Linked DNA regions of Saccharomyces cerevisiae S288C. The gene in region 2 interacts genetically with the main gene of each other region. Each region holds a gene or a part of one and is shown on either strand. Other genes may lie near its edges. The genes, in order: SIP1, SIP2, SIR2 and BCY1.

Region 1 (6,525 bases), on a different chromosome or scaffold from region 2:
TCGAGGAAGAGTGAGGTTTTCTTCCATGAATTGCAGCTATTGTTAAGGCGTCTGACATAGTATGTAATTGTGCCATGATATACATGTTTTGTGTGTGTACATTTGAATATATATATTTACTAACAAGGAGAAAACTTAGACCGACAAGCTGAAAGAGGATATTTTAACCATCAGTAAAGATGCTCTGGACAAGTACCAGTTGGAAAGAGACATTGCTGGGACGGTAAAGAAGCAATTGGATGTCAAATACGGCAATACCTGGCATGTGATTGTCGGAAAGAACTTTGGGAGCTACGTGACACACGAAAAGGGCCATTTTGTTTATTTCTATATCGGTCCACTGGCGTTTTTAGTTTTCAAAACAGCATAAATAGTGTTTCTTCAATAGTTAATCGATAATCAATTACTATTATACTTTCATACGAATGGGGTGTTACTTTTAAGGACGACATATAAGCAATGGAACGACCAGTTAAGATAAATGGGCAATATCCTTCGGAAAGGTCAGCAAATATATTTAGCAGGTGACATGAAGAAGCAAATGTTGCTAAATAAAGATGGAACACCTAAGAGGAAGGTGGGCAGACCAGGCAGAAAAAGGATTGACTCTGAAGCTAAGAGTAGGAGGACTGCCCAGAATAGGGCAGCTCAACGAGCGTTCCGAGATAGGAAAGAAGCCAAAATGAAGAGTTTGCAAGAGAGGGTAGAGTTACTAGAACAGAAAGATGCGCAGAATAAGACTACCACGGACTTTTTACTATGTTCTTTAAAAAGTTTACTGTCGGAAATTACAAAATATAGAGCTAAGAATTCTGATGATGAAAGAATATTAGCCTTCCTCGATGATCTGCAAGAACAACAGAAAAGGGAAAACGAAAAAGGAACAAGTACAGCAGTTAGCAAGGCTGCAAAGGAATTGCCATCGCCTAATTCAGATGAAAACATGACTGTGAACACAAGTATAGAAGTACAGCCGCACACTCAAGAGAATGAGAAAGTTATGTGGAACATAGGCTCATGGAACGCTCCCAGTTTAACCAATTCGTGGGATTCTCCCCCCGGAAATCGAACAGGTGCCGTTACCATCGGTGACGAAAGTATTAATGGTAGTGAAATGCCAGATTTCAGTCTCGATCTTGTCTCCAATGATAGACAGACTGGTCTAGAAGCTTTAGATTACGACATTCATAACTACTTTCCTCAGCACTCTGAACGCCTGACCGCTGAAAAAATAGATACGTCAGCATGTCAATGTGAAATTGACCAAAAGTATCTTCCATACGAGACAGAAGATGATACTTTATTCCCCAGCGTGCTTCCCCTTGCTGTAGGGAGCCAGTGTAATAATATTTGCAACCGCAAGTGTATCGGGACCAAACCATGTTCAAATAAGGAGATCAAATGCGACTTAATAACAAGCCACCTGTTGAATCAGAAATCTCTAGCTTCGGTGCTTCCGGTGGCTGCTTCTCATACTAAAACAATTCGAACCCAATCTGAAGCAATTGAACACATTAGCAGCGCCATATCGAATGGAAAAGCGTCTTGCTACCACATTCTCGAAGAGATCTCCTCCCTACCAAAATATTCATCGTTGGACATAGATGATTTATGCAGCGAATTAATAATCAAGGCAAAATGTACAGATGACTGCAAAATAGTAGTCAAAGCTCGCGACTTACAGAGTGCTCTGGTTAGACAGCTCCTGTAGCATATAAACATATCTTGAGTATACATAATGTTGGATGAGAGCATGTAATATTGATCGCTTTGTACGATGATTATACCTTTTTTGTCTTTTTACCATTGTCTCTGATGGAATACTATTGACAATTAACAATGGTAGATATATCCGATACAAGTGGATACCTACATAAACAAGGTGTCTTACCTAGTGTTTCTTTCATTTGCACTTCTTTTTTTGCGTGTGGACTGACATCTTGGAAAGTTGAACTGTCATATTATATAGTTGTTGCAGCCGCCATGGGAAACAGTCCTTCTACTCAGGATCCATCGCATTCAACCAAAAAGGAGCATGGACATCATTTTCATGATGCATTCAATAAAGATCGTCAGGGAAGCATAACCTCTCAACTGTTTAACAATAGGAAGAGTACTCATAAGAGACGCGCCAGTCATACTAGCGAACATAATGGTGCCATTCCCCCTAGAATGCAATTACTTGCATCTCACGATCCATCGACAGATTGTGATGGGCGCATGAGCAGTGATACTACTATCGATAAGGGCCCGTCCCATCTATTCAAAAAGGATTATTCTTTGTCCTCTGCCGCAGACGTAAATGACACTACGTTGGCCAATTTGACTTTAAGTGATGATCACGATGTGGGTGCACCCGAAGAGCAGGTGAAATCTCCGTCGTTTTTGAGCCCAGGTCCATCAATGGCCACTGTCAAACGAACTAAAAGTGATCTGGATGATCTGTCTACTTTGAATTACACCATGGTTGACGAAACAACAGAAAATGAAAGAAACGACAAACCACACCATGAAAGGCATCGCTCAAGCATCATAGCTTTGAAAAAAAATCTTTTAGAAAGTTCAGCTACTGCTTCCCCTTCTCCAACGAGGTCTTCATCGGTGCATTCAGCATCACTTCCCGCCTTGACCAAGACGGATTCCATTGATATTCCTGTAAGACAACCCTATTCAAAGAAACCATCTATCCATGCATACCAATATCAATATCTCAATAACGACGAAACATTTTCTGAGAACTCTCAAATGGATAAAGAGGGAAACAGTGATAGTGTAGATGCAGAAGCAGGCGTACTTCAAAGTGAAGATATGGTTTTGAACCAGTCTCTTTTACAAAATGCTTTAAAAAAGGATATGCAACGTCTTTCAAGGGTGAATTCCTCTAATTCAATGTATACTGCAGAAAGGATAAGCCACGCTAATAACAATGGAAATATTGAAAATAACACCCGTAACAAGGGAAACGCGGGAGGCTCCAACGACGATTTTACCGCACCTATATCTGCTACTGCAAAAATGATGATGAAACTGTACGGTGATAAGACCTTGATGGAAAGAGATTTAAATAAGCACCATAATAAGACAAAGAAAGCCCAGAATAAAAAAATAAGGTCGGTTTCAAATTCGAGAAGATCCTCATTTGCTTCTTTGCATTCTTTACAATCAAGAAAGAGTATCTTAACAAACGGTTTGAATTTGCAGCCTTTGCATCCACTACATCCAATTATTAACGACAATGAAAGTCAATACTCTGCACCGCAGCATAGAGAAATATCGCATCACTCTAATTCCATGTCGAGTATGTCTTCAATATCATCAACAAACTCCACCGAAAATACTTTAGTTGTTCTAAAATGGAAAGACGATGGTACCGTGGCTGCAACCACGGAAGTCTTTATAGTAAGCACGGATATTGCTTCTGCTCTTAAAGAGCAAAGAGAGCTTACCTTGGATGAGAATGCAAGTTTAGACTCAGAAAAACAGTTAAATCCTAGGATCCGCATGGTTTATGATGATGTGCATAAGGAATGGTTTGTTCCAGATCTTTTTTTGCCTGCAGGAATTTATAGACTGCAATTCTCCATCAATGGTATATTGACTCACTCAAATTTTCTTCCTACAGCTACGGATTCAGAAGGCAATTTTGTCAACTGGTTTGAAGTATTGCCCGGTTATCATACGATCGAGCCATTTAGAAACGAAGCAGACATCGACTCGCAAGTAGAGCCAACACTGGATGAAGAATTGCCCAAGAGACCGGAACTTAAAAGATTTCCTTCTTCCTCTCGAAAATCTTCCTACTATTCTGCTAAGGGTGTTGAAAGGCCAAGTACACCGTTTTCAGATTATAGAGGCTTAAGTAGGTCCAGTTCAATAAATATGCGTGACTCATTTGTACGTCTGAAGGCTAGCAGTTTGGATTTGATGGCCGAGGTCAAGCCTGAGAGGTTGGTGTATTCGAACGAAATACCAAATTTATTTAATATAGGTGACGGCTCTACGATTTCTGTAAAAGGAGATTCTGATGACGTGCATCCCCAAGAACCTCCCAGCTTTACACATAGAGTTGTTGACTGTAATCAAGATGATTTATTTGCTACTTTACAGCAAGGCGGTAATATTGATGCAGAAACAGCAGAGGCGGTTTTTCTAAGTAGATACCCAGTTCCTGACTTGCCCATATACCTGAATTCATCCTATCTGAACAGAATACTAAACCAAAGCAATCAGAATTCAGAATCACATGAGAGGGATGAAGGTGCGATAAATCATATTATACCCCACGTGAATTTGAACCATTTACTGACAAGCAGTATTAGAGATGAAATAATCAGCGTAGCTTGCACTACTAGATATGAGGGGAAATTTATCACTCAAGTAGTTTATGCACCTTGTTATTATAAAACACAAAAGTCTCAGATCAGTAATTAGAATCTCAATTCGCAATGATTCTCACGAACTCTATTAATTCAATTTTTTTCTTTTTGATTCCTATGGCTCCTAGAACGTTTGCATTCCTTTTTTTTTTGTTCTAGTAGGTATTTCACGTCACGTTTCTGGCAATCCACTTCTCAGCATGCGTGGAATATACTTTAACATATCCAACGAATTTGCTGCATATTCTTATGTAATAGATAGCCGTTCCTAATGTGTAATGGCCTGCTTTGTTATAGAAATCATATATAAGTAGTGATTGAGCCGTAAAATCATCTCATATGCCCAATGGAAAACCAGTCATAGTATTATGAAGCATTCGCATTATTATATACCTCCATCTTCCCCTGTTATTCTGTCTTTGTATTTAAAATCATTTTTACGAATAGTGCGGTTGTCTTGGTTGATGACGTAATTCTTTGATATCTACTTATTTACGCGTTATTGGCCTTGAGTTATTAATATCATTATTGATGTTATTACTATTCACGAACAAGTTGTATAAATTTTCGAAATTATTATTATCACCATCTCCACATTGCATATATCGTTGCTCAATAAGTTCTGTCCATGGTTCTACAAATTCAAGCCCGATATCTTCACTAGCACCGAACCAATCTGTAACCTCGTCAGATAGAGATGGACCTTGGAAGAGTTCATTGTTCAGTAACGCTGTTGTGATATCGTTGTTTTGTTCAACAAAAGGATCAACGATACCTTTAGAAGATGTATCATTTGAATTCTGAGAATTGCTATTAATTTCCTCCGTCAAAGGCCTTTCCGAGGGTTCAAAAGTAGTCTCGGTTTTATTATATCCAATACGTTTAGAGAATATTGGCTTCTTAGTTAAGTCTTGTCCCTCCAGTGAGGATTCGCGATTGCTCTCTAGAGGAGTGGTGCCATCTCTTAATAAGGGTGGTCGTTCTAAGTAAGATTTTTTTCGAAGTTTCATCTCTGTACATAAGTACATTAATATGGCTGCGTATCTTTGACATAGATGTAATTCATCTGGTGTAGCTTCTTTCAAAGTAACCGCAGTGTCACGGATGATATCGAATGTTTCGTCAACCGATATTGCACTTAATTTTAAAATGTTTCTGGCATCTGGATTTGTTGCCAGTTCACTACCAGTAAGTGTTAGGTAGCATTTTACTATGAACGCAATGGATCTAATTATTCGTATTACCCATCTTACGGGCATGTATTTTAGCATTCCTTGCCTTGAAACTCGCTTTGCAGAACTCAATATTTCTTTTGCAGATCTGTATGCTAATTCCACATACCTCGCGCTTGTCACAATTTCATTCATATTCAATCTGCTTGTTTTCCCATCCACTTGCAGTGCGAGGGAAAAGATATAAAGTTGACAATAATTGAAATCTGTGATAATACTTTCACCATTTATTCTATCGATGTTATCAAATATTTGTTTTTTGTTCTTCCTATCTGCTAGTGAGAAAGGGACATCAGAAAGGGGTACAAGAAGCTCTCTGTAGTTACTGAGCCAGCCCTCTATCAAGGGAGAAAAAACACTTAGGACAGAGAGGTTGTGTCTCTGATCTGTCGTTGCCAATTTCCTCTTATTCTTCTCACAGTAAATCGTCTCATATGCTATGGATAGGATTCGAATGATCTCTATTTTTGCTCTTTGGGCGAATGAGAATCTTAGTGGAAATGGTGGTATGTGATTCTGTGCTAGATTAGTATCATCTTTTTTATTAGAATAATATAGAACATACTCATCGTTTAAAAACTCCCTCTCCCAATCAGTCAAAAAATTTTTCTCGTTGTCGTGGTCATTTTCTGAGTTTTCAAAAACTCTCTTCCACCTTAGTTTACTTTCTTCATCAGGCAAAATCTCATTCAGATAAAATTTTTCATTCCCAAGGTAATCCTCATTGCTTTCATTTCCATCGTTTTCAATTTTTCCTAAATTCAAGTTTAAAACGCTGAATGATTCTGCTAATAAGGATCTTTGATTCATATTCATAGCACTGGTAGTCTCAGATATATGAGTGACAATGAATACTTTTGAGCTGTTTTCAATGAATCCCATATCTTGCGCCAGCCTTACTGCAGACCCTGTCAGCA
Region 2 (5,341 bases):
ACAACATGGGCTCTAATGGCGCTCCAAAGGGTCCTACCATCAGCTTAACACCGGCACCAAAGGAAGACAAGAAGAAAAAATCCAGCAACTGTTGTTAAAAATTTTGTGCCCTACTAAGGTCGCATGGTTTCATGCATATTCTGTCTACATATAACCCCCGTTAATAATGCTTTTATAAATATAATCAATTACATATACCTTCCCAAGTTATTTATTACTAACCTTCGTTGCACGCAAGAAAAAATGTATTAACGTACATACATTTTCTAAATAGACCTTTCCTGACGCCTGCATTTTGCAATAGCCGAAGATAAGAATATGATTTTTTTTTTACGATTTAAATATTCTGTTGTTGTGCAGTCTAAAAACACACGTGTATGTTTTTTTCCGCACGCATGAGCAGAATTAGACGGTTTTATAAACGTTCGCTCTGTGTATTTCACGTACCTTCCCGGATACAAATTTCGTCATGGTTTATATTGGAAGTTTTTCCGAAATTGCGGGTTTTGAAGGTTTATCCGAGACGACGTGAGGGGTAGGCAGGAGAAGGAAGGCTGTTTACGTACGCAAGGATGGGGTACGACAATGATTCAATTTCTGTTGCTAAGTTTTTTGTTATTTTTTCATATTGGCCTACTCATCTTTGATATCATTATTTTTTCGAATCTACATTAGAGCGTGTTTCGGAAAACAAACTCGCTCGATACAGTAATTGCGTTTTATTTACGGAAATTACCGTTCTCGGTTCCAAGAAGGTTAGAAAAATCGGTTGTCGCTCTTTCTTTCCCCCACTTGTAAAAACAAAGAAAGTATAAAATAGTTTATGGCCCTTAAGGCAGGCCTTGTTGAATTTGAGCTATACCTACCCCAATGATAGTTCTGTGGTAGTTTGTTTGAATATGTAATATGAGAAGCACGATGGCAAACGATAATCTTCACTGAGCTGATTTACGAGCGACCATCATCTCCACGGTGCGAATTAATAAGCTGTGGCGATGTGCTGTAGTTGCCCTATCGCCCCTGCGGAGCTTGCGTCAACTAGCTCTCCCCTTTCCCCATTGAAGTTAGCGTATTACCATCAGTTAATGATTGATAGGCTCATACGAAGAAGAAAAAAAGCCGGGATAAGAAACCCCGCCTCCACTTTTTTGGCTCATCCGAAAATTTATCCGCGGAGACATCCACGGAGCACCCGCAAAACTGAAGTAATAACTCTAAATTATATGCCGCTGAGAAAAATCTCGTACGAGGATACGGTAAATAATCCGTGCGAGAAAGTTTTTCCGAAAATCATTCCCGGTCAAAAGCGTTTCTGGTATATAAGCGATTGGGAAACCCGTCTATAATACGTAGTAACTTACGATCTGCCTGTCAAATTGTGTGCTTGTCCTTGTACTATTACCATTGTGTAGCTTATCTTAACTCTCAATTAAGTTTTAACTCACGCTAAGACTATTGACCTCGAGAACAAACAAAATAAAAATAAAAAAAGAGAATGCCTAAAAAGCAAACGAATTTCCCAGTAGATAACGAAAACAGACCTTTTAGATGTGATACCTGTCACCGTGGTTTCCATCGGTTAGAACATAAAAAGAGACACTTGAGAACACACACTGGGGAAAAACCTCATCATTGCGCATTTCCTGGTTGTGGGAAAAGTTTCAGTAGAAGCGATGAACTGAAAAGGCACATGAGAACGCATACAGGGCAATCTCAAAGGAGATTGAAGAAAGCTAGCGTACAGAAACAGGAGTTTTTGACAGTAAGCGGAATTCCTACCATTGCATCGGGCGTGATGATACACCAACCAATACCGCAAGTCCTACCAGCAAATATGGCCATAAATGTTCAGGCAGTAAATGGAGGTAACATTATACACGCTCCCAATGCGGTGCACCCAATGGTGATACCAATCATGGCCCAACCAGCCCCCATTCATGCCTCCGCTGCATCTTTCCAGCCTGCAACTTCTCCTATGCCAATTTCTACATACACTCCAGTTCCATCGCAATCATTCACCTCTTTCCAGAGCTCTATTGGCTCCATACAGTCAAATAGTGATGTTTCATCTATCTTCTCGAACATGAATGTTCGCGTAAACACTCCACGCTCTGTGCCAAACTCTCCGAATGATGGATATTTACACCAGCAACATATCCCACAGCAGTATCAGCATCAAACTGCCAGCCCTTCTGTTGCCAAGCAGCAGAAAACTTTTGCACATTCTCTTGCATCTGCATTATCTACCTTACAAAAAAGAACGCCTGTAAGTGCCCCTTCCACCACTATAGAATCACCATCCTCACCAAGTGATTCCAGTCATACCTCTGCATCCAGCAGCGCTATCTCTTTGCCTTTCAGCAATGCTCCTTCTCAGCTCGCCGTGGCCAAAGAACTTGAGTCCGTCTATTTAGATTCCAATAGATACACCACCAAGACTAGGAGGGAAAGAGCAAAATTCGAAATTCCTGAAGAACAAGAAGAAGATACCAATAACAGCAGCAGTGGTAGTAATGAGGAGGAGCACGAGTCGCTAGATCATGAATCTAGCAAAAGCCGAAAGAAATTGTCAGGCGTAAAATTGCCGCCTGTACGTAACCTACTGAAACAAATTGATGTTTTCAACGGTCCCAAAAGAGTTTAACCTTTACGGCCCCTTTTTATCTCACCATTTTTCCTCTAACGAACTGTCATGAAACAACTTAGCATATAACGCGTACTTACATAGATAGATTAAATAGATAACCATGCATATCACTAACTAGCATCGTCATGAATAGCACGTTTACCTATACGAATTGCGGCCGGCATGGTCTTTTATATTGCTCCCTTGGACCGAGTAAAGATTTACCTTGCGTTTTCGGATCGTCAAAATCTTTTAGGGAAAGGATAAATACACCACAAGATTCCTGGGAAATGAAAAGTATCTGAAATAATTGTGCTTTTGGAAGGGTACTGAGAGCAGTGAAGTTTCTATGGGTACTACGACAAGTCATCCAGCCCAAAAAAAGCAAACAACAAAAAAGTGTCGTGCACCTATCATGAGTGACGTTAGAGAAAAACCCAGCAATGCTCAAGGCTGCGAACCGCAAGAAATGGATGCTGTGAGCAAGAAAGTTACTGAACTGAGCTTAAATAAATGTTCAGATTCCCAAGACGCGGGGCAGCCTTCAAGGGAGGGATCTATTACCAAAAAAAAATCGACGTTATTGCTGCGTGATGAGGACGAGCCCACTATGCCAAAGCTATCTGTTATGGAAACTGCTGTGGACACTGACTCTGGGTCTTCGTCTACTAGCGATGATGAAGAGGGAGATATTATTGCCCAGACGACAGAGCCCAAGCAAGATGCCAGTCCTGATGATGATCGCTCAGGCCATTCTTCGCCCAGAGAGGAGGGACAACAGCAAATACGTGCCAAAGAAGCTTCGGGAGGTCCAAGTGAAATCAAGAGCTCATTAATGGTTCCCGTGGAGATAAGGTGGCAGCAAGGTGGTTCAAAAGTTTACGTGACAGGCTCATTCACCAAATGGAGGAAAATGATCGGTTTGATACCTGATTCTGACAATAATGGCTCATTTCATGTGAAGCTAAGGCTGCTTCCAGGCACACATAGATTCAGATTTATAGTGGATAATGAGCTTAGAGTTAGTGATTTCCTGCCCACAGCAACTGATCAGATGGGAAACTTCGTCAATTACATAGAAGTCAGGCAACCAGAAAAAAACCCAACTAACGAAAAGATAAGGTCCAAGGAAGCAGATTCCATGCGACCTCCCACCAGCGATCGATCCTCAATTGCTCTACAAATTGGTAAGGATCCAGACGATTTTGGTGACGGATATACAAGGTTTCATGAAGATCTGTCACCCAGACCTCCGTTGGAATATACAACAGACATTCCCGCCGTGTTTACTGACCCGTCTGTCATGGAACGATACTATTATACCTTGGATCGTCAGCAAAGCAATACTGATACGTCATGGCTGACACCACCCCAATTACCTCCTCAGTTGGAGAATGTTATCTTGAATAAATACTATGCCACGCAAGACCAGTTCAACGAGAACAACTCAGGCGCTCTGCCCATTCCGAACCATGTGGTGCTTAACCACTTGGTTACTAGTAGCATTAAGCACAATACACTTTGTGTAGCCTCCATCGTTCGATATAAACAGAAATATGTCACCCAGATTCTTTATACGCCCATAGAGTCCTCGTAATCCGGGATTCCTACTTTTTAAAGGCGTATTGTATATATTTTTGGCAGCTATGGCACACTAATTTCTATTTCCAATTTAGTGTAAGCAGAGATATAGAAGCATATAACATAATGATTTACTAATGGGCTCAGTACTCTCAATGCTTATTGTTATCACAAACCACGATACTAATACCCGGAAGTCGCGTGATCTTTTTTTTTTTCGGAAAATGAGAATCGCCACTTTTCTAACGAAAGAATATTGAAATCTTAATATTGGTGAGAAGAGGAATAAAAGTAGCTAAGAGAGTCACGGGACTAAAAGGTAAAAAGTTCAGCTATTCCAACTTTACTCCTTTCTGATATTGCACCTTTCGTGAACTGGCTTCGTGTATTTAAGTGAATATGGAAGAGCTGAATATTGATTTTGACGTATTTAAGAAAAGGATTGAATTGTTGTATTCCAAGTACAATGAGTTTGAAGGTTCTCCAAATTCGCTGCTGTTTGTTTTAGGTTCGTCCAACGCTGAAAACCCGTACCAGAAGACGACCATATTGCATAATTGGTTGCTAAGTTACGAATTTCCCGCTACTTTGATTGCATTAGTTCCCGGAAAGGTTATTATAATTACTAGTTCTGCCAAGGCCAAGCATTTACAAAAGGCAATTGATCTATTTAAAGACCCTGAAAGCAAAATTACGCTGGAATTGTGGCAAAGAAACAATAAAGAACCAGAACTCAATAAAAAGTTATTTGATGACGTTATTGCCTTAATCAATAGCGCTGGTAAAACAGTGGGTATCCCTGAAAAGGACTCTTACCAAGGTAAATTTATGACTGAGTGGAACCCAGTATGGGAAGCGGCTGTGAAGGAGAACGAATTCAATGTCATTGATATTTCGCTGGGTCTTTCTAAAGTTTGGGAAGTGAAGGATGTTAACGAACAAGCCTTCCTGTCCGTTTCAAGTAAGGGGTCGGACAAATTTATGGACCTTTTATCCAATGAAATGGTTCGGGCAGTTGACGAGGAGTTGAAAATCACCAATGCCAAGTTATCAGACAAAATTGAAAATAAAATTGATGATGTGAAATTTTTGAAGCAATTGAGTCCCGATTTAAGCGCATTATGCCCACCAAAC
Region 3 (5,389 bases), on a different chromosome or scaffold from region 2:
CTTTGCAATCACAAATTGGCGATTTCAAAAATGCTTTAGTGTCCAGGAAAAAATATTGGGAAGCATTCCTTGGTTACCGTGCCAACTGGACATCATTGGCTGTGGCACAAGATGTGAACGGTGAGAGGCAACAAGCTATTAACACTTTATCTCAGTTTGAAAAACTCGCTGAGGGAAAAATATCTGATTCCGAGAAATATGAACACAGCGAGTGTTTAATGTACAAAAACGACATTATGTATAAAGCTGCCAGTGATAACCAAGACAAGTTACAAAATGTATTGAAACATTTGAATGATATCGAGCCATGCGTCTTTGATAAATTTGGTTTATTAGAGAGAAAAGCAACTATTTACATGAAATTGGGTCAATTGAAAGACGCGTCCATTGTTTATAGAACTCTGATCAAGAGAAATCCAGATAATTTTAAGTACTACAAATTACTGGAAGTATCCTTGGGAATCCAAGGTGACAATAAATTGAAGAAGGCTTTGTATGGAAAACTTGAACAATTTTATCCAAGATGCGAACCACCCAAATTTATTCCATTAACTTTCCTTCAAGACAAAGAAGAGCTCAGCAAAAAATTGAGAGAATATGTTTTGCCTCAATTGGAGCGCGGTGTTCCAGCAACTTTTTCCAACGTGAAACCCCTTTACCAAAGAAGGAAGTCCAAGGTTTCACCACTATTGGAGAAAATTGTCCTTGATTATTTGTCCGGATTAGATCCTACGCAGGATCCAATTCCTTTTATTTGGACCAATTATTACTTGTCTCAACATTTCCTTTTCCTTAAGGATTTTCCGAAAGCCCAAGAATATATTGATGCTGCCCTTGACCACACCCCAACTTTAGTTGAGTTTTACATCCTCAAGGCACGTATCCTGAAGCACTTAGGCCTAATGGACACAGCGGCTGGAATTTTGGAGGAAGGTAGGCAACTTGATTTGCAGGATAGATTTATCAACTGTAAAACGGTTAAGTACTTTTTAAGGGCTAACAATATCGACAAGGCGGTGGAAGTCGCGTCCCTTTTCACCAAAAACGATGATTCTGTTAATGGTATTAAGGACTTACACCTTGTGGAAGCTTCTTGGTTCATCGTAGAACAGGCAGAAGCCTATTATAGACTATACCTGGATAGAAAAAAGAAATTAGACGATTTAGCATCGCTAAAAAAAGAGGTTGAAAGTGATAAAAGCGAACAAATTGCGAATGATATCAAAGAAAACCAATGGCTTGTTCGCAAATATAAAGGTTTGGCGCTGAAAAGATTCAACGCTATTCCAAAGTTTTATAAACAATTCGAAGATGACCAGTTGGATTTCCATTCATACTGTATGAGAAAAGGTACGCCAAGAGCCTATCTGGAGATGTTAGAATGGGGAAAGGCACTTTATACCAAACCCATGTATGTTCGCGCAATGAAGGAAGCATCAAAGCTTTACTTTCAAATGCATGATGATCGCTTAAAAAGAAAGTCCGATTCTTTAGATGAAAATTCAGATGAAATCCAAAATAATGGCCAAAATAGTAGCAGCCAAAAGAAAAAAGCTAAGAAGGAAGCAGCCGCTATGAACAAACGGAAAGAAACTGAAGCCAAGAGTGTTGCTGCTTATCCGAGTGATCAAGATAACGATGTATTCGGCGAAAAGTTGATTGAAACCTCCACTCCAATGGAGGACTTCGCTACCGAATTTTATAATAACTACTCCATGCAAGTCAGAGAAGACGAAAGGGATTATATTTTGGACTTTGAATTTAACTACAGAATTGGAAAGTTAGCTTTGTGCTTTGCTTCTCTAAACAAATTCGCTAAGAGATTTGGCACCACGAGCGGTTTATTTGGTAGTATGGCCATTGTTTTGTTACATGCCACAAGAAACGACACCCCCTTTGATCCAATTTTGAAGAAAGTAGTCACGAAGAGCCTTGAAAAAGAGTATTCTGAAAATTTCCCATTAAACGAAATATCTAACAATAGCTTCGATTGGCTGAATTTCTACCAAGAAAAATTCGGTAAGAATGATATAAATGGCCTGCTATTTCTGTATCGCTATCGCGATGATGTTCCGATCGGAAGCTCTAATTTGAAAGAAATGATTATTAGCAGTCTTTCTCCCTTGGAGCCTCACTCCCAGAACGAAATTCTACAGTATTACTTGTAGCCTGCAACTCCTCAATGTGTCAATTAACTCTTACTTAATTTATGTATATATTTTTTATGTATATGCTTATATGCATGCGCATATGCTCATAAAAGATACATTGTTATAGGTCATTTCTTTTCCAAGCTACATCTAGCACTCCTTCCAACCATGGTCCAGGACAGCCAGGACCTTTTCTTGCCAAAATTCTTGCTTTCCCATCTCAGAGAAAAAACGAGGAATTTTTCTTTGTCCTCTTTGGCCGCCAGTTGCGGTAAAATATTTTTTTTCTAGGTCGCATAGTTTGAAAGACTTGTCTTTTTCACCACCCAAGAAAAATATATTTAGTGAAGAGATGTAAAGCCCATTCTCACGTATTTCAAGAAATTAGGCATCGCTTCGGTAGACACATTCAAACCATTTTTCCCTCATCGGCACATTAAAGCTGGATGACCATCCCACATATGAAATACGCCGTATCAAAGACTAGCGAAAATAAGGTTTCAAATACAGTAAGCCCCACACAAGATAAAGACGCGATCAGAAAACAACCCGATGACATTATAAATAATGATGAACCTTCACATAAGAAGATAAAAGTAGCACAGCCGGATTCCTTGAGGGAAACCAACACAACAGATCCACTTGGGCACACTAAAGCTGCGCTCGGAGAAGTGGCATCGATGGAGCTCAAACCAACTAATGACATGGATCCCTTGGCAGTGTCAGCAGCTTCAGTAGTGTCAATGTCCAATGACGTTTTGAAACCAGAGACGCCCAAGGGGCCAATCATAATCAGTAAAAACCCATCAAATGGTATTTTCTATGGTCCCTCCTTCACTAAACGAGAGTCTCTCAATGCTCGAATGTTTCTGAAATACTATGGTGCACACAAATTTTTAGACACTTACCTCCCCGAGGATTTGAACTCGTTATACATTTACTATCTTATCAAGTTGCTAGGCTTTGAAGTTAAAGATCAAGCGCTTATCGGCACCATCAACAGTATTGTCCATATCAACTCGCAAGAGCGTGTTCAAGATTTGGGAAGTGCAATATCTGTCACAAATGTTGAAGACCCATTGGCAAAAAAGCAAACAGTTCGTCTAATCAAAGATTTGCAAAGAGCAATTAACAAAGTTCTATGTACAAGATTAAGATTATCCAATTTTTTCACTATTGATCATTTTATTCAAAAATTACATACCGCTAGAAAAATTTTGGTCCTGACTGGTGCAGGTGTTTCAACTTCATTAGGGATCCCGGACTTCAGATCTTCTGAGGGGTTCTATTCAAAGATCAAACATTTGGGGCTCGATGATCCCCAAGACGTTTTCAATTACAATATATTTATGCACGACCCCTCTGTTTTCTATAATATTGCCAATATGGTTTTACCTCCAGAAAAAATTTATTCTCCATTGCATAGTTTCATTAAGATGCTACAAATGAAAGGGAAATTATTGAGAAATTATACTCAAAACATTGATAATTTGGAATCTTATGCGGGAATAAGCACAGATAAACTGGTGCAGTGCCATGGCTCTTTTGCTACTGCCACCTGCGTTACCTGCCATTGGAACCTACCCGGTGAGAGGATATTTAATAAAATTAGAAACCTCGAACTTCCACTATGCCCGTACTGTTACAAAAAAAGAAGAGAATATTTCCCAGAGGGATATAATAATAAAGTAGGTGTTGCTGCATCACAGGGTTCAATGTCGGAAAGGCCTCCATATATCCTTAACTCATATGGCGTTCTCAAACCAGATATCACATTCTTTGGCGAAGCACTGCCAAATAAATTTCATAAGAGCATTCGCGAAGATATCTTAGAATGTGATTTGTTGATTTGCATTGGGACAAGTTTAAAAGTAGCGCCAGTGTCTGAAATCGTAAACATGGTTCCTTCCCACGTTCCCCAAGTCCTGATTAATCGTGATCCCGTCAAGCACGCAGAATTTGATTTATCTCTTTTGGGGTACTGTGATGACATTGCAGCTATGGTAGCCCAAAAATGTGGCTGGACGATTCCGCATAAGAAATGGAACGATTTGAAGAACAAGAACTTTAAATGCCAAGAGAAGGATAAGGGCGTGTATGTCGTTACATCAGATGAACATCCCAAAACCCTCTAAGTAGAAGGCAATTTAATAATTTAAAAGTGCCAAATTAATATCAATTTACATAGTATGGCAAACAATTTTGTTTTCCTTTCAATTATTGTAGTCAAATATTATTTACATTCTGCTATTTTCATTGTACCGGGTGAAATATTACATGTACCGCCCATCTCACTAAAAAAATGAAAAAAAAAAATCTGCTAAAGACGCAAGGCTCTCACAAATAGCTTAATGTAAGAAGGGCAGGTGGAACAGCAAATTCAAATCATTTAACGCATCCATACATTCAAAATGAACTATTTAGAAGGCGTTGGGTCAAAGAAAGGAGGTGGTGGTATAGCCTCAGAATCTCAGTTTAACTTACAACGAAGGAAAGAAGTCGAATCATTACTTAGTAAAGGCGAAAATGTCCCGTACACTTTCCAAGATGAAAAGGACGATCAAGTAAGGTCCAATCCGTACATTTACAAGAATCATTCCGGTAAACTGGTTTGTAAACTATGTAATACAATGCACATGTCGTGGTCCAGCGTTGAAAGGCATTTGGGTGGTAAAAAACATGGTTTAAATGTGTTAAGGCGTGGTATCAGTATAGAGAAAAGTTCTCTAGGGAGAGAAGGCCAAACAACTCATGATTTCCGACAACAACAAAAGATAATTGAAGCTAAGCAATCTTTAAAGAATAACGGTACGATCCCTGTTTGTAAAATAGCTACCGTGAAAAACCCGAAGAACGGTTCAGTAGGTTTGGCTATCCAGGTAAATTATAGCAGTGAAGTCAAAGAAAATAGTGTCGATAGCGATGATAAGGCTAAAGTCCCTCCTCTCATTAGGATTGTATCTGGTTTAGAGCTATCAGATACCAAACAGAAGGGAAAAAAATTTCTCGTTATTGCGTATGAACCCTTTGAAAATATTGCTATTGAGCTACCTCCAAACGAAATATTATTCAGCGAAAACAATGACATGGACAATAATAACGATGGAGTAGATGAATTAAATAAAAAGTGTACATTTTGGGATGCTATATCAAAACTTTATTACGTTCAATTTTTCTTTAAACAAGCCGAACAAGAACAAGCCGATGTATGACAGTATTATTTTTGGGTAACGTTAATA
Region 4 (3,279 bases), on a different chromosome or scaffold from region 2:
GAAAATACAATGAAAATTTCGGATGATTATGATCTGAGACAAAAGTCATTATGCATGGTGCTTTATGCCGATAAATTCGCAATGTTTTCGAATCAACGCAAGAAAATTGGCCGTTCAAATTTAGTTTAGTGGAAATAATTGAGCCATTTGGAGAAGTGCTCGCTACTGCCGGTTCCGGTGAACCATTCCCCAGATTATTAGACATTTGGAACAAAAGACCATTGGAAGTGCTTTTGAGTGATGAGTGTCTTTTCAAAGGAGAGCTTTGCAAAGGTTCAAAATCTTGATCTGAACAGCCACTGTTGACGCCTTCACCTTCATCATTATTATCAACATCATTATCCGACAATTCGATCTGCCTCTTACTCTCGCTGTTCATACTCAAAACTGGTAAGAAATCCTTTGTAGAAGCATTGTTTAGATGATCAACGATTTTCGGATCCTTACGAAAAGTGTTATATCTTTTGGGCGGTAGAGAAGCAGAGGACCTTGGAGAGCTGGCACGAGAGCTGTTCAAGGTGTCTAGCGGTTTGAGACTATTAAACTTGCGTTTTCTGGCAGACATATATGTGGGGTTTGATGTGCAATAAACATAGATATACGTGTATTATTGCACCTGGGTATGGGGTATACTGTGTAGTGTCCTTTTATCCCGCTCTTTATTTCTCTCTCTAAGAAGAAACGAATACACTGTAATGTAATTGGTTGTGATGTTTTATCTCTCTCTGATGACGTGATATCTTTTATGTTGTTTCACGATGTTCTCTTATTGTATTGTATAATAGTTTCTCTTAGTAGGAAGATAGAAAAAGGACAAAGAAGGCAAAGAACCAAATGTCATTTCTAACGACACGGCACGTGATTACTGATCTGATAATAAATGAAACAAGCCATACGTGAGAAAGTAAAAAAAAAAAGGAGGAGGGAAAAGAATACGAGTGGAAAATATAAAGGACTTTATATACTTTTCAGATTAGCCGCCGACGATTTTACTTACTCAGCTTTTTTCTATCTTTCAAAACGCTCAAAAGAGGAGCATACGACTTCGGCGGCTAATCTTCACCCAAGAAAAAAAAAGCGCATGCCACCACGACGAGCGGAAAAAAACAAAGCACCCAATCACCACCCTTCCTTCTTTCTTCGTGTTATACCCGCCACTTTTGTTCTGCCTGATAATATATTGATTATACTGTGCTCGGATTCCGACCTCTTCTTTGTTGCAGAAGCCATAAGCTGAACTTATTGCATTTGCTCAAGTGCATTTATTATGGCGCCGCGCCGCCGCTCTCCAAAATTCTTGTCCTTCCTCGTTTTGCTGGCAAGGAGCAAAACGAAGAGGAAGGTAGAAAAGAGAAAATTTGAACAAACAGGGAAAAGGGAAAGAGAAAAAGGGACACTTTACGCTTTCCTCGACTAAGTCAAGCGATCGCTATCATCACATCCATTACACGCATTTCACGCATACATAAATAGGAAGATCATTTACAACAAGCAGATTATTTTCAAAAGACAACAGTAAGAATAAACGATGGTATCTTCTTTGCCCAAGGAATCGCAAGCCGAATTGCAACTGTTCCAGAACGAAATCAACGCCGCTAATCCGTCCGACTTTCTTCAGTTCTCCGCCAACTATTTCAATAAAAGGCTGGAACAACAGAGAGCGTTCCTCAAGGCCAGGGAGCCTGAATTTAAGGCAAAGAACATTGTTCTATTTCCGGAACCAGAGGAGTCATTTTCCAGACCTCAATCAGCTCAATCTCAATCAAGATCCAGATCGAGTGTTATGTTCAAATCCCCCTTTGTGAACGAGGACCCACACTCCAACGTGTTTAAAAGTGGGTTTAATTTAGACCCGCACGAACAGGACACTCACCAGCAAGCACAGGAAGAACAACAGCATACTAGAGAAAAGACATCAACTCCTCCACTCCCAATGCACTTCAACGCCCAAAGGCGTACTTCTGTTAGTGGTGAGACCTTACAACCAAACAATTTTGACGATTGGACTCCAGATCACTATAAGGAAAAGTCCGAGCAGCAATTGCAAAGACTGGAAAAATCGATCCGTAATAACTTTCTGTTCAACAAGCTGGATTCCGACTCAAAAAGGCTGGTCATAAATTGTCTGGAGGAGAAGTCCGTCCCCAAAGGTGCTACGATAATCAAGCAAGGTGACCAAGGGGACTACTTCTATGTCGTCGAAAAGGGTACTGTTGACTTCTACGTCAACGACAACAAGGTCAACTCTTCCGGGCCAGGCTCCAGTTTCGGGGAACTTGCTCTTATGTACAACAGCCCTCGTGCTGCCACCGTTGTAGCAACCTCCGACTGTTTGTTGTGGGCTCTAGACAGGCTCACCTTCAGAAAAATACTTTTGGGCAGCTCTTTCAAGAAGAGACTCATGTATGACGATCTTTTGAAGAGCATGCCAGTTTTGAAGAGTTTGACTACGTACGACCGTGCCAAACTTGCCGATGCACTGGATACCAAGATCTACCAGCCGGGTGAAACAATCATTCGCGAGGGTGATCAAGGGGAGAACTTTTATTTAATTGAGTACGGAGCTGTGGACGTCTCTAAGAAGGGCCAAGGTGTCATAAATAAACTGAAAGACCATGATTATTTCGGTGAAGTGGCCTTGCTAAACGATTTGCCCAGACAGGCCACTGTGACTGCTACAAAGAGAACCAAAGTTGCCACATTGGGGAAAAGTGGTTTTCAACGTTTACTGGGTCCTGCAGTAGACGTATTAAAGCTCAATGATCCTACAAGACATTAAGTAAAAAGGGGAAGCGATCTTAAATCCACATGAATTTCCTTTCTCTTTTTCTTCTTCTTCTGTTCCCTTTTTCTTTCTTCTTCCTTCAACGTCTACGTAAATATAATGTATAACATCTCCACTTTCCTTTCCCTTATAGCGTTATGTTACCTGTTTAAACTCTAAATTCTTCATCTACTACTGCTGTTACTACATGTATATATGTTCATTTTTTTTTTTTTTTTTCACCACGGAAAACGTAAAAATGAGAGCATTTGTAACAAATAAAGGAGAACTGTTCAATCAAGTGACATACAAAAACTCTCTCCAACTCTACAATCACCACCGTAATGTCTGATGCTCAATTCGATGCTGCTTTAGATCTTCTTAGGAGGCTAAATCCTACCACGTTACAGGAGAATCTAAACAACTTGATCGAATTACAACCAAATTTGGCACAAGATTTACTATCTTCAGTAGACGTTCCCCTATCCACACAGAAAGATTCCGCCGATTCAAAC

The links.
Region 1: mutations in SIP2 (region 2) and SIP1 impair growth when combined (synthetic growth defect), as found in Saccharomyces cerevisiae (8 studies listed by BioGRID, with this or other methods).
Region 3: of SIP2 (region 2) and SIR2, changing one suppresses a phenotype caused by changing the other (phenotypic suppression), as found in Saccharomyces cerevisiae (2 studies listed by BioGRID).
Region 4: mutations in SIP2 (region 2) and BCY1 together harm fitness more than expected from each alone (negative genetic interaction), as found in Saccharomyces cerevisiae (2 studies listed by BioGRID).

Annotation. Positions count from the first base shown.
Region 1 is NC_001136.10:1,313,232-1,319,756, reverse strand, and holds SIP1 (Sip1p), read left to right. Parts: upstream 1-1,983; coding exon 1,984-4,431; downstream 4,432-6,525. Other genes in the region: DYN2 (dynein light chain), read left to right, coding at 37-59, 140-370; CAD1 (Cad1p), read left to right, coding at 482-1,711; ARO80 (Aro80p), read right to left, coding at 4,865-6,525. UniProt on the Saccharomyces cerevisiae protein: Beta subunit of the SNF1 kinase complex, which is required for transcriptional, metabolic, and developmental adaptations in response to glucose limitation.
Region 2 is NC_001139.9:94,363-99,703, forward strand, and holds SIP2 (Sip2p), read left to right. Parts: upstream 1-2,975; coding exon 2,976-4,223; downstream 4,224-5,341. Other genes in the region: Rab family GTPase YPT32, read left to right, coding at 1-98; MIG2 (Mig2p), read left to right, coding at 1,496-2,644; chromatin-remodeling protein SPT16, read left to right, coding at 4,607-5,341. UniProt on the Saccharomyces cerevisiae protein: Beta subunit of the SNF1 kinase complex, which is required for transcriptional, metabolic, and developmental adaptations in response to glucose limitation.
Region 3 is NC_001136.10:375,653-381,041, reverse strand, and holds SIR2 (NAD-dependent histone deacetylase SIR2), read left to right. Parts: upstream 1-2,596; coding exon 2,597-4,285; downstream 4,286-5,389. Other genes in the region: peptide alpha-N-acetyltransferase complex A subunit NAT1, read left to right, coding at 1-2,168; spliceosome assembly protein PRP11, read left to right, coding at 4,562-5,362. UniProt on the Saccharomyces cerevisiae protein: NAD-dependent deacetylase, which participates in a wide range of cellular events including chromosome silencing, chromosome segregation, DNA recombination and the determination of life span.
Region 4 is NC_001141.2:289,919-293,197, reverse strand, and holds BCY1 (cAMP-dependent protein kinase regulatory subunit BCY1), read left to right. Parts: upstream 1-1,528; coding exon 1,529-2,779; downstream 2,780-3,279. Other genes in the region: SUMO protease ULP2, read right to left, coding at 1-565; CAP2 (F-actin-capping protein subunit beta), read left to right, coding at 3,109-3,279. UniProt on the Saccharomyces cerevisiae protein: Regulatory subunit of the cyclic AMP-dependent protein kinase (PKA), an effector of the Ras/cAMP pathway. Inhibits PKA activity in the absence of cAMP. cAMP activates PKA and promotes growth and proliferation in response to good nutrient conditions.